3 linked regions of the Caenorhabditis elegans genome follow. The protein of the gene in region 1 purifies or fractionates together with the protein of each later gene. This does not show direct contact. Each region holds a gene or a part of one and is shown on either strand. Other genes may lie near its edges.

Evidence for each region. The genes of interacting proteins can lie anywhere in the genome.
Region 2: the proteins of mtch-1 (region 1) and ndub-7 fractionate together in Caenorhabditis elegans (co-fractionation; one large-scale study listed by BioGRID). This does not show direct contact.
Region 3: the proteins of mtch-1 (region 1) and mrpl-12 fractionate together in Caenorhabditis elegans (co-fractionation; one large-scale study listed by BioGRID). This does not show direct contact.

What each region holds. Positions count from the first base shown.
Region 1 is NC_003280.10:7,372,090-7,376,103, forward strand, and holds mtch-1 (Mitochondrial carrier), read right to left. Parts: upstream 2,078-4,014; coding exon 2,028-2,077; intron 1,983-2,027; coding exon 1,807-1,982; intron 1,763-1,806; coding exon 1,656-1,762; intron 1,602-1,655; coding exon 1,439-1,601; intron 1,393-1,438; coding exon 1,039-1,392; intron 992-1,038; coding exon 813-991; 3' UTR 526-812; downstream 1-525. Other genes in the region: rpb-4 (RNA polymerase Rpb4/RPC9 core domain-containing protein), read left to right, coding at 2,417-2,492, 2,556-2,665, 2,738-2,986; F43E2.1 (Poly(A) RNA polymerase mitochondrial-like central palm domain-containing protein), read left to right, coding at 3,191-3,247, 3,295-3,366, 3,442-3,647, 3,698-3,922, 3,970-4,014.
Region 2 is NC_003279.8:7,580,392-7,583,287, forward strand, and holds ndub-7 (NADH dehydrogenase [ubiquinone] 1 beta subcomplex subunit 7), read right to left. Parts: upstream 1,238-2,896; 5' UTR 1,233-1,237; coding exon 1,119-1,232; intron 1,037-1,118; coding exon 932-1,036; intron 827-931; coding exon 674-826; 3' UTR 553-673; downstream 1-552. Other genes in the region: D2030.3 (Fanconi anemia group I protein), read right to left, coding at 1-297, 378-440; mce-1 (Methylmalonyl-CoA epimerase, mitochondrial), read left to right, coding at 1,730-1,792, 1,867-1,992, 2,336-2,635.
Region 3 is NC_003281.10:10,705,830-10,709,073, reverse strand, and holds mrpl-12 (Mitochondrial Ribosomal Protein, Large), read right to left. Parts: upstream 1,314-3,244; 5' UTR 1,308-1,313; coding exon 1,238-1,307; intron 1,190-1,237; coding exon 989-1,189; intron 931-988; coding exon 680-930; 3' UTR 553-679; downstream 1-552. Other genes in the region: W09D10.5 (N-acetylgalactosaminide beta-1,3-galactosyltransferase), read left to right, coding at 106-380, 424-461; Y39A1A.22 (Xenotropic and polytropic retrovirus receptor 1 homolog), read left to right, coding at 2,534-3,169; Y39A1A.21 (ATP synthase subunit C lysine N-methyltransferase), read left to right, coding at 2,271-2,504.

The sequences.
Region 1 (4,014 bases):
TTTACTTAGAAAATTTGAATTTTCCTCCAGTTTGTGATTATGTCTCAAAATGGACATGGCCAGTGGGATTCTTCTTGCCAAAGATCTACTATGTAGAAACATAAAACAGCGCTTCATATCTAGTAAAATGATGATACAAGATCATATATTTTTCAGAATGCCGATATGAGATTTCCAACGAACACTCGTTCGAAGTTCATAGTCAAGGTGAAATGGGTCCAGAAATAGAACGGAAGTCGCATTTAGCGTATCAAGTCGCTCGTTTCGAAGCAGTTGCTATGGGCTTCCCGGTGCAATATAGACAAGTTGTTGTCGAATTCTACTATCATGGCCGATTGGATGGATCATCGGGTACCCTGGCGACTGCGGTTGGGTTGTTGGCTCTCTTCACAGGAGTTGAGATATCACCCCGTTTTGCCATCACGGGTTCTCTTGATGTTTTCGGTTGGCCCCCATATTGTTGCCTTTTCTCCGTGAGTGGACGAGAAAAAGGCGGGGCCTAAATATGAGGTTTTCTGCAGTACACGCCACGCAGTTTTTTTTATTTTGAGTGTAGTTTGTTTACAAAAAAAAACTATAAAATTTTAAATTGTAGATTTAACTTCATCATAGGATAACGCTAAAGCTAATAAATTACGGGACACATGTTGAAATTTAAATCGAAAATCTAAAGTACGGGTTTGGATTAAAGGAACATTTTAGTTCTATGAGATTTGAGTCTAAAACAACCGATGATTGGTATATGAAAAGGGATTAGCAAAACTCGAAAAATACATTATAGCGAAGATTGGATGAAGTTGGGGACGAAAATCTTATGCAAAGTAAGAGTTGCTAGCGTAAAGTTGTTGATCCACGCCGACAGTGACAGCTCCCACTTGTTCACGAAGGAACAGGCGGTTTCCACGCTTGAGACCAATTGGGCGAAGGTAGTCCCATGCTCCATGCCAGTTGTTGAAGGATGGTGAATATGGGAGGAACGAAACGGCTAGTCCTGAAATAATCTTTTATTTTAAAAGATACTGTTATTCGCATGCTTACCTGATCCAGCAACAGCCATAACAGTGGATACAACACTGTATGGGTAGCCGAAGGAGTTGACGAGGAATGGAACAGCAGTATGGATGAACTTGTGAACATCCTTGGCAGCCTTGGCTTTCGTTTCGTCCTTATTCTTTGTGTCTCCAAATTCAATGCGGAGAATAGCTCTTTGAATTCCGTGAGTAATTAGATGAACTCCCCAAATGACGAGAAGCTCTCCAACGATCTGAGGAGCAAGTCCGCTGAAAAGTCCTCCTGGACCTTCCTGCTTTCCGATGACGGCCAGAGCCTGGGCGCAGGTAGTGTATTTAGTTTCATTGCCAATAACTTGAGCAACTTGACGAGCAAAGCAGACTGGAAGAGATTATTATACAGTTTAATCGCAAATAATTTAACTTACCAGCAAATGGTCGTGCAGCAGTAACAGCAACAACACGAATGACAGAATCGCGGAATCCGTTACGAATAACTCTTCGGAATGATTCAGCATCGGTGAGTTCATCCTCTTCTTTATCTTGATTTAAAAGAGGTCCTCCAATATTGGGGTAGTACTCGTCGATGTACTGTAAGATAATTTTTTACGGTTTTCAGGAACTTTCAATGAGAAAACTGTTTACCTGCTGAGTGCGGTGAGAAGCAATACCCTGAACAGCCAAAGCAGCGATAGCAGAGTCGATTCCAGTCCAAAGGGTGATATATCCACGAGTAGTTCCCAATTGCTTCACTAAATTTATGATCATTACCGAAGATTATTTTCGTGAATCCTACTATAGCTGAAGAAGTTAGGAAGGAAATACGCATTTCTTCCTGCAATGACGAGAGTCTTTCCTGTAGACAATGGGAACGGTTCATGACCAAGCTGGATAAGGGTACGTGTCACGGTCAAAGGAAGCGACAACGAGCTCAAAGCGAGCTTGGCAATAAGACTCTTGGCGAATTTCTCCTGTAAAACTGAATTTCAAATCTATTTCAATAAGACTAAACTCTCATCTTCTGGAGCAAGCCCAAGGAAAGCGTCTTGTTGATTTCCTTCAGCCATGATTCACTGAAAATAATTAATTTAATAACAAATGAAAATACAAACTAATATTTTGGGTTAACTATAGTTATATTCATAAAAAATAGCAATCAGACATTAAATGAGAAAAATCGAAGATAAAAAAAATGAGCGGATAAACAATAAACATTCGCCGCACAAAAAAGTGGGCGGAGACTGAAACGCAATGTGTGCGCACGTTATCTCACTCCTCTTTCTGTGTAAGAATTGCAGAATTTTTTGTCTTAAAAACAATTTTCTGATAGTTGAATAAATTTCCGTCAGTTTTATTGTTTTTCACTTAAATCTCACTGTCACTGATCTAAAAAATATTTTTAGAAAATGTCTTCCGGTGGAGGAAATCAAAAGTCAGATGGACAAGTCGAGGAAGATGCCGCTGAATGCAAATTTCCGAAAGGTATTGTTTTGTTTTTACTGAGTTTTTGAATTTGGTGATTTTTCCTAATCGGTATATTTTCAGAATTCGAAACAACAACATGCGACGCTCTTCTGACCGCTGAGGTTTACTTGCTTCTGGAGCATCGTCGTCAATCGAGTGAAAGCAAAGACGAAATTGAAGAGATGAGCGAGGTAGTCTCAAAACTATTTCAGTCGATTAAATTTATTGATTTATAATATCATTTTTATATTAAACGAATTCAGGTCTTCATCAAAACTCTCAACTACGCTCGCCGCATGTCTCGATTCAAAAATCGCGAAACTATCCGTGCAGTTCGAGCGATTTTCTCCGAGAAGCATCTTCACAAATTCGAAGTTGCGCAGATTGCCAATCTCTGCCCTGAAAATGCCGAAGAAGCCAAAGCACTAGTTCCTTCTTTGGAAAACAAAATCGAGGAGTCTGAACTAGAGGAAGTTCTCAAGGATCTGCAATCCAAAAGAACATTCCAATAAATACAAGCAAACTAATCCCATATTTATCTGTATTCTCAAGTTACTGTAATTGTCCTATGAGATCTCTCATAATGTGTTATTTGATACAATGAAATGAAATTTTGGAAATGTTTATTAATGTTTTTCAAATAATTTGTTCAATCGAAAATGAATACTGGTTTCATATTGTTTTTTTTTGTTGAAAAAATCACACTATTGAACCAGATGGTGCAGAAATTGAGCAGACCGTCTCCAGATTTTCTCAAAGGCCTTAAGAGCATTGTGAGTTTATTTTTCACATTATTTGTTAATGTACTAGAATTTTTCAGTTGCAAGGCGATCATCCTTCTCTCAAGCAGCTCGAACAAGATATAAATATATTTTATATGAATCAAAGACAGGTAGGATGGGAAACTGGTTAATTTTTACCAATTGTAGAGATTTCGCATGTTTATAATTTGAATCCAAATTTTCAGAGCCAATCAATGTTGGAGGAACGAAAGCTTTATGTGGCGTTGGTTCGAAAATACCTGAAATCCGAAGGAGTTACCAAACAACTCGCTTCGCAAGGAATCAAATTGCGTGGACTTAGCGTTTTTGGAAGTTTCCCGACGCACTGTGCCTCGAAAGACAGCGATCTTGATCTGTGTGTGTGTGCGACGGCAACAGGAAATAAAAAACAGTAAGTCGTTTTGCAGCCTTACTTTTGACGATTTATAATAACTTTTGCAGACTGCCGGTAATCATTCTTCAAGCCATTTTTCGAGACATGATGTACAGTAAGGAAGGGCAGAACATTTTTGGAGAGAATGTCGTCAGCGGAATTTCGTTTGTGCAAACGGCAAAGGTTCCGATCATCCGATTCAAAATCAACGATGTGCCAGTTGATTTGAGTGCAACATTCGATGATAATCCTCGAACAAGTCTCGCCGCAAAGTATATCAATGCTTACTGCCAGTAAGATTAATTTCTGGAAATAACACTTATTGAACTAATTTATTCAGACTCGATGATCGCTTCAAAATTCTCGTGATGTTTTTGAAAAAATG
Region 2 (2,896 bases), on another chromosome or scaffold:
ATTGGGATCACTTGTTTGTGCAGCAGCATCCATGCAATTAAGAATAATCTTGAATACAATTGGAGAATGAAGTTCTCCAGCTTGCGGATTTCTAACAAGAAGTTCTCGAGTATAAAGTGATCCACATAATTGAAAATGATCCGAGATATGAGCAAGTCGATTAGCCAATCGCGATTGAACTGCTCGTAGAGTTTGTGAAGAACATTTGATGATCATTCTCGACATAAGACAAAATCCTAGTTCTTGTTCTTTACGTGTTCGATTGGATCCAACGAGACGGAGACATTTTTCGAAAGTCTGAAACTTATTTGATGAATGGATCCATGACAGAATATGTAGGTTTTTAGATAATTCAAAAAAATTTGACAATTTCTAACCTGAATTTCGTCTTCTGGTTTTCCAACCATTGTTTCTTGGACGACTTTTCGGATTTCGGTCATCTCTGAAAGGTGTTTTTAAATTATAATATGGAAAACTAATCGGAATCATTATAGCATAGATATATTACAAATGATACGAACAACAAAAAAATTTTCAACATTAAAAAAAAGTGTACGACTCAATATTTATCCGAAATCGAGAGAAAAAGAAACGAAACAAAAGACACATAGTATTCACAAAAAACTATACTATTATCAAAAATCATTTAAAGAAATATCTCATCGACATCTATTCAAGCAGTGGCTTCTTTGCGAGCCTGTCTTTGAAGCAATCGTCGTTCACGTTCGAATTCTTTGATTCTCATGATATGATCATCATATTCACATTTATCCCAAGCTCCACGTTCTCCGTCGCACGCGTGTCCGGCAAATGGTGCATTTTGGGTCTGAATATAATAAATTATTTTTGCTGTTTTTGAGAAAATAATTTTAGATGTGTATTTTTATATAATTTTAAAAATATATCATTGTAACTAAAACAAAAATCTTACTTGGCATTTCATGAGTGAAATCAAGTGGTGAGCACAATAATCGCGTTGAGCTGGCTTCAACTTCCACTGCTCCATCTCTTCCCAAGTAGCCTTCATCTCGCGGACCTTGAATATTAAACTTTATTATATTGAATATTTATGAATTAAATGAACAGTTATTTAATGAACTTTTAAAAAAGTTGTTTACCTTTCTCGGTCGCTCGAATCCATACTGAGGATCGAAAGTTGGTGGTCTGTCGACACGTGGCGCGGTTTCTGGTGTACTGGCTCCTTCCAATGAGACGGACAGTTTAGTTCCCATCTTGGCTGAAAAAAAAGGAATTGGTACAAAATAAAGAAAGCATCAAAACTCTTCTGATATTTGAATCAACTCAAAATAAATAATTAGCATGCTTAGGGCAGCGAATGCTTTGCTGATAAGAAGTGAACAATTTATATTTTAATAATTTAACATATTTTTCCGGAAAATATTCTTCTAAAACGTTAAAAACAAAGTAAAGCTGAAAATTGGCACAAAAATTGCCCGAAATAAAATAAGATAAACAACAAGCACTTGTGTAATATCGGAGTGTCGTTGTAATCAAAGTGAGTGCGTGCAAAAAGCAAGTTTACAGCGGGTTCATTGACCGAATTTTCAATGTCAAAAACATTTTCTTATCTAAACTTTTGTTTGTTTCTGTTACTTTTCATTTTCTCACAGATGTTTCAATCATTTAAACGCTTATTACTTAGCATTTTTCGAGTTTTATAAATTTTATTAAAGTACAGTAACCATGTTTATAGATTCTTCTTTTGAAAATGGCATCCTTCCGTTCTACACTCGCCCTTGTCAATTCTGCTAAGCTTTCGCTGTCCACAAGAGTAGGTTTTTCTATTTTTTCTGATGAAAACTATTAGATAATCGCTTTTTTACTTTAAAAATTTTGACTTTTCAGACCATGGCTTCCCATCCATTGGCAGGACTTCTCGGAAAGTTGAACCACGTCGCCATTGCCACACCAGATCTCAAGAAATCATCGGAATTCTACAAGGGCCTCGGAGCAAAAGTTAGCGAGGCTGTGGTTAGTCTTTAATTTTTGTTTCTTCCTAATGTCAATAAAAATTTAGAGCAAAAATATGTAGAAAATATTTTTGTTAAATTCTTTGTAGCATAAATCAAAATAAAAATTGAATAGCCTAAAATTTTGAAATAGCATAACAAAAAACGAAAAATTTTGGAAAAACCCCTACAACTGAAAAATGAAATAAAATGCGAATGAAGCGAATTTTGTGTACTACAGTAAACTTACTTGAAAAATATTTATTTAATTACAAGTTTTTTCATAAAAATGATAAAAATCCGCAAATAAAAAATAAAATGTCTCATCTAGTTTATATTAAAATTTTTGAATTGAATAATTACAGCCACAACCAGAACATGGAGTCTACACTGTCTTCGTTGAGCTTCCAAACTCAAAAATCGAGCTTCTTCATCCATTCGGCGAGAAATCTCCAATTCAAGCTTTTTTGAATAAGAATAAGGACGGTGGAATGCATCATATTTGTATTGAAGTTCGTGATATTCATGAAGCTGTTTCTGCTGTTAAAACAAAAGGAATTCGTACTTTGGGTGAGAAACCAAAAATTGGAGCTCATGGAAAAGAAGTAATGTTCTTGCATCCAAAGGATTGTGGAGGTGTACTTATTGAACTCGAGCAGGAATAATTTGATTCTTTGTTCCCAAAATCTAGCAATCATATTATCTGTTTGACAAAGTTTTGATCTTCACTTTTTTGTGAGAAACTTCACAAATTTTAAATTTCGCAAAAGTTCTCTCAAAATTTTTTATTGGCAGCCTATAACTTTTGAAAAATCGATAATATGATATAAATTACAAAAAAAAAAACTATAAACCTTTCTTTTAGCACCCAGTATTTTGCATAGAGATTAATTTTTGATACGTTTTAATCTGTTCACATGTTTTAT
Region 3 (3,244 bases), on another chromosome or scaffold:
CAAAATTACCGAAAGTTTTTGAAGACTAAAAAATCGAAAATCAGAGAATTACTTCTGGAAAACTCCCGAATAAATTCTAAAAATGTTTGATTTCATGATTTTCAGAGGATTTTTCTTCTCGCGAGCCTCGGATTTCGCTCTCTACGACTGCAGCGAGAAGTACGGTGTCCAGATAGCTGATCCATTTGATGAAGATGCTCTCCGACTATTCAACGATCTTCCACCAAAACAAATAATTGCGCCAGACTCGAAATTGTTCCGTTCAAGTCCCACAAAAGCCGGAAAATGTTCCGACCACGCGATCTCGTTCGGCCAATTATCCGAAAAGGATATGCGAGTTCTTCAATTCGGAATGTCGCTGAAAGTATTCGGACGCGGAGGTTTGTACCCATACAGGCTTCCGGTAATTTTCCCAAATTGCAGGTCTTGACACTTCTTCAAATGAGACTACCGATTTTTGATCTTCTCCAGCAGCTTCTCCAGAATCTATCCAATAGTATTTCTATCATGGGACGTGTATTTCTCTTCTTGCCGGGTGTAAATTTAATTATTTTTGAAATTAATTATTTTTCCATAAAATAAAATAAAACTTAACAAAAAGAAATGCTACACTATCTACGAAAAATTTGAAGAAAATGAGAACACAACAAATGAAAAGAGGGAAATATAGAACAAAAAATTAAACAATTTCAATGGTAGCTCCAGCCTTCTCCAGAATAGCCTTCAACTCATCGGCTTCTGCCTTTCCAAGATCCTCCTTAACATTTACCGGTGCGGTTTCCACAAACTTCTTGGCCTGAACGAGATTGAGGCCTGGAATGGCGTTACGGATCTCCTTGATGATTGCGATCTTCTTGGTATCATCGAATTTCGTTAATTTCACAGTGAATGTCATTTTTTGTGGAACGTCTGATGCGGCTTCCGCTTCGGCTGAAAAATAATGAAAATAAATAAATAATTTTATTAAACTATAATAAATAATGTTTACCCTGAGCGGCTGGAGCAGCAGCGGCAGCAGCCATCAATGGTTGATCTGGAATGTTGAGCCGCTTCTTGAGAGCCCAGTTAAGATCGGAGACGTCGAGCAGGCTGAGATTCGCGATTTCTTCAACCAACGAGCTGACTTTTGCGGAGATTGCTCTGTCTTCTGATGGCAATGGTGCCGGGCTTCCCTCGTTTAATGGAAGACCTGAAAATTTTGATATGATTTTGAGGAAAATCTTAATTTTCAGATTACCTGCGGCCTGGGAGTACTTCGCGCTGCTTCTGAGCACCTTGGAGATCGGTCGGAGTGTTCTGGACAACATATTTACCTGGAAGTTGAAAGGTAATTTAGTTTTTAATCGGAATAAGAGAGAAATATAAGTTTGAAGAAACTTTTGTTTATGTAATATATTTTTAGCTAAAAAATTAACAAATCGATACCCGAAAAACCTAATTTTAAAATAAAAATCATAAAGAAACGCAAAAAATTAGCGAAAATTGAGGAAAATTAAAAGTTTTGCAATGTTTACCGACTTAACATCTTCTTTACAAGATCTTTAACAATCTTCAATAGAAAAACTCTAAGAAACCACGAAAAATTAGCAAAACTGAAATTCCAAAATTGCATATCTTTATAAAGTAAACCCCCTTTTTAAAAAACGAATTTTAACCTGGGTTTTGGTGATTTTCAACGTCGGAACCATGCAAATTACGACAATTTTATATAAAAATTCAGAAATTTGGTTGGAAAATACGGTGGGAAACGCAAAAAATTAATAAAAATCGCACAGAAATTGCAGAAAATAAATCCGACCCATCCGAAAACGCGCCAGTAGCCACTCGTTTGCGCAATCATCAACTGCTTGCGCACTTCCGGTGCACTGAGCTCCCGATTTTTAGTCGCATGTGCCCTTATCGAATTTCGTTGTCTATCTCTTTTTCGCGAAAAGTACGAATTTAAATTTTGATTCTGTCGAGTGCAATTTATGCGTAAATCGATATATTTCCAGTGTTTTGCACTGTTTTAGGCCTGAAAATCGTTTTAAACATTTTTTTTCTGTTTTCAGGTAGAAAATTTGAATCGTTGATGAGAAACTTCATCTTATTCCGAAGAAAATCGATTGAAGAATAAAGGTGGGTATGAATTTTAATTTTAAATATTCAAAAACAATAATCCTTTGAAAAATAAAGATAATTTAAACTTAAAAATAATAAATTTTAAAACAAATAAAAAATCATGATTTAAATCAATGAGTGTTCCCCTCGAGATTGTGTTTTTTTGCAGTATGGGCATGAACACAGGTCTGGTGATTGCCGGTGTGGCTGGCGCAACGGCGCTCGCCATCTCGGCGGCCGCAATTCCGTTCGTGGCGCCCGCTCTGCGACGCGTCTGCATTCCGTACGTCCCAGCAACGACGGAGCAGCTCGCGAACGTCTCCCGCGCACTTTCACTCGCCACGAGCAGCAACAGCAACAAGAAGGGAACGCTCATTGATTTAGGCTCCGGCGATGGCCGTGTTGTAAGTTATTCCCATTTTCCCGATTTTAGATGAAGTTCGGCGAGCAACTAGCGAGCCACTTGACGCCCGAGTGGCGGAAACAATACATTGACTATGAGCGGCTCAAAAATCTATTATACGATGATATGATGGAGGTTCCCGCCGACGATGACCGCCGAGAAGAGCACATTTCCCGGCTCGACGAGAAATTTTTCAACGAGTGCGACCAAGAGCTCACCAAGATCAACCTATTCTTCTCGCAAAAAATCGCTGAAGGACAGGGAAAACATCACGAGCTTCAAACCGAACTACAAGTGTTCAAGGATGTTCTTGGGTCTCGCAGCGATACCACAGGGATCCGTAGAAGGTTCGGAGGAAAAGACAAATTCCATAAGGAGACCACACGGAATGAGCAGCAGCTGAAACTCGCATTCTCCGAGTTTTATCTTTCTCTGGTGCTGGTTCAGAACTTTCAGCAATTGAATGCTACCGGATTTCGGAAGATTTTAAAGAAACACGACAAGCTCACTGGCAACGAACGAGGACTCGACTGGCGGATTAATAAAGTGGAAAAATCGTCGTTTTTCTTGAATCGAGAAATTGAAACTCTGATCACAAATGTGGAAACCAGTGTAATTAATGATTTGGAGGCTGGAAATCGACAAGCTGGAATGAAGAGGCTTAAGGTTCGAAATTTCGCTGAAAAAATTGGAAAATTGATTATTTTATACGAAACAGAATTAACTTTAGAAAACCCAATG